Linked DNA regions of Neurospora crassa OR74A. The protein of the gene in region 1 interacts with the protein of each later gene in a biochemical or structural test. Links are inferred from orthologs where the notes say so. Each region holds a gene or a part of one and is shown in the gene's direction. Other genes may lie near its edges. The genes, in order: NCU02357 and NCU03905.

What was found.
Region 2: the proteins of NCU02357 (region 1) and NCU03905 form a complex in vitro, tested with the Saccharomyces cerevisiae proteins (2 studies listed by BioGRID). The link is inferred for Neurospora crassa OR74A from reciprocal best matches to the Saccharomyces cerevisiae genes PSE1 and YAP1.

What each region holds. Positions count from the first base shown.
Region 1 is NC_026507.1:2,761,997-2,764,419, forward strand, and holds the end of NCU02357 (importin subunit beta-3), read left to right. Parts: coding exon 1-1,014; intron 1,015-1,066; coding exon 1,067-1,277; 3' UTR 1,278-1,668; downstream 1,669-2,423. UniProt on the Saccharomyces cerevisiae protein: Functions in nuclear protein import as nuclear transport receptor. Serves as receptor for classical and arginine/glycine-rich nuclear localization signals (cNLS and rg-NLS) in cargo substrates.
Region 2 is NC_026506.1:2,106,300-2,110,588, reverse strand, and holds the start of NCU03905 (hypothetical protein), read left to right. Parts: upstream 1-1,251; 5' UTR 1,252-2,325; coding exon 2,326-2,775; intron 2,776-2,845; coding exon 2,846-3,587; intron 3,588-3,654; coding exon 3,655-3,973; intron 3,974-4,030; coding exon 4,031-4,253; 3' UTR 4,254-4,289. UniProt on the Saccharomyces cerevisiae protein: Transcription activator involved in oxidative stress response and redox homeostasis.

The sequences.
Region 1 (2,423 bases):
GTACGCTCAGGTCCTTGAGGGTGACTTTGCGCCTTATGTCGCAGACATCATGGAGAAGATTGCTCTTCCTGGTCTGGCCTTCTTCTTCCACGATCCTGTCAGGTACATGTCTGCGAAGCTAGTTCCGCAATTGCTCATTTCATACAAGAAGCAGTACGGTCCCGGCTCCAACGAGCTCAAGGGCTTGTGGACCAGCACCGTCGTTCAGCTCCTCGACGTTCTTAGCGCCGAGCCTGCCATTGATACGCTCGCGGAGATGTATCAATGCTTCTATGAGTCCATCGAGGTCATCGGCACTGCCTGCCTCGATGAGACGCACATGGGCCGCTTCATCGACGGTGTCCACTCCACTCTTGAGGATTACAAGGATCGGGCAGCCGCTCGTGAGGAGGAGCAAGGAGGTGAAGATGGCGAGGACGAGTCGGAAGAGATGCAGATGGCCATTGAGGATGACCAGACTCTCCTTTCGGACATGAACAAGGCGTTCCATGCTGTTTTCAAGTACCACGGCGCAAGCTTCTTGAGCGCTTGGAGCCGCCTGCTTCCCACCTACAGCAGCTTCTTGAGCTCGAATGATACCACCCAGCGACAGTGGGGACTGTGCATTATGGATGATGTTCTAGAATACTGTGGTGCTGAGAGCATTCACTACGCCCAGTATATCTCGGAGCCTCTGCTCCTCGGCTGCCAGGATGCCTCTCCCGCTATTCGTCAAGCGGCTGCGTATGGCATCGGTGTGGCTGCCCACCATGGCGGCCAGGCTTGGGCGCCGTTGGTGGGCCAAGCCGTCGAAGTTCTCTTCAAGGCTACGCAGATCCCAGATGCGCGCAACGAGGACAATGTGTACGCTACGGAGAATGCCTGCGCTGCCATCGCCAAGATTCTGCATTTCAACTCTTCTCAAGTCGCCAACCCCGACCAGGTTGCGACACAGTGGTTTGAGACTCTGCCGGTCTTGAACGACGAGGAAGCGGCGCCCTATGCGTATGCTTTCATGACCCAGCTGATTGAAAAGTAAGTCTCTTGTCCTGACATGGCGAACTGGAAACGACTGACCCGCAAATAGGCAACATCCTGTCGTTATTTCGCAACCCGCTAAAGCTTTCTACTACGTCGCACAGGCGCTTGAGGTGGACGTTTTGAGCGGACAGACCCTCGCGCGCGTGATTGCCGCTGTCAAGAGCCTGTTGCAAGCAACCGGTACTTCGCCCGACCCCGTACTGCAGCAATTTGGCCCCGAATCTCAGCAGTTGATTCGGGAGCGGTTTAGCAGTTAAGAAGTGTCGGAGGTAGTGGCTGTGGAAGAGAGATGACATCGCTGATGGACGTAGGAGAAGGAAAAGCAAAACGTCGACTTAGGAAGATGGTGATCTACTTGGAAATCAGGATATAGATGGCATGGAACCAGAAGGGATCGACAGGAACTGGTAGGGAAATCATGGTAAGAGCGTGGAGAAATACTTGAGCACGCAATCAGGCTGTTGATGGCCTTGGTCATGTAGGGAAGAAGGCGAGAGGAGTCGAAGCGGAAATGTGAATTTGATGGAGATACCATGCACACCATAACGTTCCTTCGGCGCACGTAACCATTTATCACACACGTATAAAATCACATAAACACTTGTAAATGACTAGGATACCTAAGTAACATGGATCGTTCCAATCTTGCCTTTTACCAGTAGTTTGGGTGGGATACAGGAGAGATCGGAGGGTTGGATCTCTGCTACTGCTACATGAGCACATGTGTTGCGTCTTTGGTTGGAAAAGCTCACAGGTACTCGAGGGTCCTTGAATAGGTAGAATACAATGGAGTTGATGGACCACCAGCATCTGATAGCGGCGGGTATCTGCAGTATGGCATTGTAGTCTACATGGTACCCTCGATACATACCCAGATGGAGGCTGATCAGGGGTCTTTTCTTTGGGGTCCAACTAAAGCAGCCACACCAATTTTACAAACCTTGGGTCCGGGTCCCCCGTTCTGAACGGGAATGGGTGCATAGGACACTACAACTTTCAATTGTGTGCCATGGTCATATCATCATCCCTCTGACACTATCTGTACCTTGGCTGTTTTCTACGTTTGTGTGTGTACACTACATATGTCTGTATTACGCTACCGGCAAGGTTATGTACTCGAGGTCTATTGCCATCCGATAGGTGTACTCCAAAAACATCATCTTGCCCTAGTACTGTACACTATAATACGCAAGTGTCCATCCAGGGGGGTGTGAGGCTATTATACCTTTCTCTACCTAGTCTATTTGAGAAATAATCAAAAAGTGCGACAATCGACGTCATTTGGTGGAGCAACTTGTTTATCATTGTTTGGTTTACCTACCGATTGGTTAGGTACCTAAGTGGTCGGGCCCCCCCGTCGTGGACATTGTGGGTTCGCAATGTGCCTTTTCTTTTTTTTTTTT
Region 2 (4,289 bases), on another chromosome or scaffold:
CTGCAGCGAGCAGCAACCACCGCCGGGAGGACATTCCTGGCAGCACGGGCCTTTTCCCATCGGTACAAAAGACAATTCAAGACTCGACACCCGACTTTTAAACGGTAACCACATGAATCGGTGACATTGTTCTTCGAGATTCCCCGCCGTGGCAGCCGAAGCTGACTACGGGACAAGCTCATGTGTGTCCAACATGGCCTGATTTTGTGTCCAGGCTCCAGGCTGGCCAGGTAATCCAAACCAGATGGCAAGTTGTCCGTAAGCTGAGAATTGTATATTTTGTAGCCACTCGGAGATAAGCCATGCGGGCTTCCTATCGACGAGGCGTCTGAACTGCCGACAGGAAGACGGAAACAACGTGGGATCTTCAATGGGGAGACTGGGTCTCGAACTCAGGTCTCAGTGGCAAACCAGCATGCCAGACTCGAGCTAATTGCGACGGTGATAATCACGACACCGAGTGCGCCCATTTTTCAAACAAATGCCCCTGGCTGTTGTTTGCTTGGACACAGTACACGTGTAGTGTACACTATTTGTGGTTAAGGTTTGTAAAACTCAAGTTGATGCGGAGATAGAGGAGAGTGCATCTCTTTCACCGTCGAACAAAGGCCACTTATTATCCACTCCGGTGTTTTGCCTGCAAGAATCTCCACTTGGGGTACCCGCGGAAACTGATGTATTTCCACGTCGATGAAAAGTGGACGGGCTGCACTCGAGAGGCTCCGACTAGAACTACATACTGTAGTACATACACGTGTAGGTCAAACAAAAAGTGGCTTTTTTTGTACGGTTCAAGAGATTGACACTGGCAGCTCTTGCTTGAAGCCCACTCACGTCAAATCGGTCAATGTGATCCTCTACGTAGTGGGACGCAATGAAACAAGAGAAATCCCTTATAGGAAAAGATACCGACATAGAGGTACCTTTTGTGGAAACGGTCCGACTGATTTTGATTGATTGTCTGCATCTGATAGAACTCACTGTCAGTCCTTTTGTTGAACGAATCGACTCGGGGTGTCGTCGGCATGTCAAGGTGTGCTGACAGTTGCCAGAGCCGGTCACGGCGCACCCGACCCGACCGTCCAGGAACGATCCAGACGTTCCCTTCGACTGATTTTCGCTGACAAATTGACTTTGGACTGAAACCCCTCCACGCTCCACTTGGACACCCCCAAGCGTCCATGCGCCCAATTGTGCCCCGTGTAGCCCGCATTCTACGAGTTTGGCCCTGTAACCAAAGAAGAGCGTCCACTCTTTTCGCCCGCTTTTGGACGGTCTCGCTTAGTCTCGTCCCCTCCATCGCCAAAGACCGCCCAAGAGTCCTTCCCTTCTCAGATCTGAATCGTATCAGCGAACCAACGAAACACAAACCTGCTCTGCAGCCTGTGCCGTCGCCTCTCCAATCGCAGAAAAGGAGCCCCCGCGGGATCATACGTGTACCTTATTTCCTGAACCCAATTGCTGACAGGATTCCGAAAGGCTGAGTGCCAGGTGAGTCAGGTGTCAGGCCGATAGGTTTGCCCATCAATTCAAGTCAGCGTCCGCCGCCATCCCACCCACTCGGCTCGGCCAACGGTTAGTTCTGTTCCAGCAGGCAGTTAACCTTTCCGGCTCACATCTCGGGCACTCGCAATTTTCTCCCCCCTTCTCTACACCTTCTGCCACAACTTCGCCCTGGTACCTCTACCTATTCCGTGCAAATACATCCGCGTCTTTTGTAACTTGCCACTCGGACCAAGTCCCCTCTCTTCTGTCTCAGTTCAAGTTATCCTACTGCCTTCCTCTCGTTTTGACCCCCGGCAAACCCCATCACCTCACACCGAACGTCTTCCTTGGGAGAAGACTTGAGTCTCGAAAACTAGAGAAGCGGGAGAGAACTGGACAGGAACTGGAACTGCCCGGTTTGGTATTCCGTCCTAGCCCGCAACGCTCAACGAGTTTTCTGCCTTTCAAGCTGCTAGTTGCGTGGCCGCTGGCTCGTCCCCGTCTGATCCAAAGTCAGTCTACGGTGCTGTCGAAACGTCATCGTCTCCGCAAGAGATTTTCTATCGTCACCCGTACTAGCATCTGATCTACCCCGACATCAGTTTTCGACCAGGACATACGTACATCTTGGGCCCGGTACCCCGGACCTCCGCTAAAACACATTGCCATTGGACCCGCGGTCTTGATACTCGACAATTGCCGCCTGTGCGGCTCCGACCGCTAGGAGCGATCAGATCACGAGAGTGAATTCATCCCATCCTTTCAACATCCAAGGTCTTTCCTCGATTCAACCGACTGCTCTACCTCTTAGTCACCATCTCCAATACAAGACAACCGAAAATGACGTCGACTCAGAACCCTCTTCACAATCTCGTCCTCACCCCGCAGCAACAAAGCCTGTTGTTTGCCGCCCTCAATTCCAACAAGCCCATCAACACACAAGCCGACCTCTCTGGTCTATCCGCAATGTACAACGGAACGTCTGCCCAAGGACTCGACCCTATGGGTTTCCAGCACACCCCGAATTTCGGTTACGACTACGGCCTTGATGGACAACATGACCCCAACTTCGATTTCAACTTCGACACTGGTGATCAATCCCACATGACGGACGATCGGTCCAATGCTCCAAGTGATTCCAAGTCGGGCTCCGCCGATGTGGAGTCCCCCGACAAGCGCAGTCATCCGGATGACGACGAGGAGGAGAATAGCGAACCAAAGAGGAGAGAGGGCGAGGGAAAAGTTGCCAAAAAGCCCGGCAGGAAGCCTCTTACCACTGAGCCCAGCTCGGTAAGCCTGCCTCGGTCGATTGATCCTTTCGAGTCTCAGTAAGGATTGACTACTAACGTGACAATAACAGAAACGCAAGGCCCAGAATCGAGCAGCTCAACGAGCGTTCAGAGAACGCAAAGAAAAGCACTTGAAGGACCTTGAAACCAAGGTCGAAGAGTTGAAGAAGATCTCCGAGACTGCCAACCATGAGAACGAGATTCTTCGCAAGAAAATGGAGAAGATGAGTAACGAACTGAACGAGTACAAGAAGCGTCTATCGTTGATGACAGCTCGACCCCCGATGGTATCACCTCGGGCTATGCCGTTCGGCAACTCCTTTGTCAGCAACCTCAATGATGTCAATTTCCAGTTTGAATTCCCCAAGTTTGGCGGTCCTCTTCCTGGACCACAATCTGCAAATCAAACCAAGAAGGGAACCCCTGTGTCGCCCCCTTTGTCTTCAACAGGTCGGCTGGAGCAACCCACGAATGGCGTCAGCACCGGTACTACACCCAATTACGGCCAAATAGGCCTTGATACACAAACCAAGGAAGACTTGGCCCATTACTCGGCCGATCTCTTCACACCTCAGTCCGCAAGAGGTGAGGGAGCGAACTTTTCGACCAGGGGAACAGATTCTCAGTACAATGCGGGGGCCGGCACGTCAACGAGTTCCCCGTCCTCTTGCGCTTCGAACATGGGTGGCGCTAGTTCGTCGTGTGGCACCTCCCCAGAGCCTCTAACTCATTCGCCCGTCGGATTGAAGTCAGTAGATACGATGGCCACAATCGGAGAAGAGCAACCAGGCGTCATTGGTTCAGGGCAGCCAGGTAAGCATTCACCAGTCTTCAATGTTCGCTCTGATTGTATAGGCCAGAATTTACCAACACTTTCTAGACTTTAATACTTTTGGTGTTGACAACACTCTCAACTGGTTGCCTCAAGACAATTTCCAGTTTGATCCGCAGCTCTTCGGAGATTACCGAGAGCCTCAGAACAATGTCCTCAACAATGGATTTGACGATTGGTTGACCAATGATGCATTCGATGCGGATTTCCTGGCACCGTATAATCTGCCACCAACAGCTCCAGGGTTGCTGCCACCACAACCCGAAGCAGAATCACAACCACCGAAGAAGGATCTCATCGCTCAGATCGATGAGGTCAACGCATCGGATGATGGAGTCAGAGAGCAACTTGATTGCAGCAAGATCTGGTATGACCAAACCGAGAGAGGCCTCGAAAATGTGACTTTTATTAACATGTTCAACAGGGACAAATTGCGCAGTTGCTCCAGTGTACAAAACCAAGAGATTGATATGGACGCCTTGTGCTCCGATCTGCAGAAGAAAGCAAAGTGCTCTGGCTATGGTGCTGTGGTTGATGAGAAGGAGTTCAAGAGTGTTCTGAAAAAGCACCTAAGTCCTGAAGCAATGGCGAGGTGCGAGAAGGACTGTGAAGAGGAAAAGGCACGAAAAGCAGCTGCCACACTGTAGGAGTGGCTCGCTTACATGCTCATGACTGCATAGAGA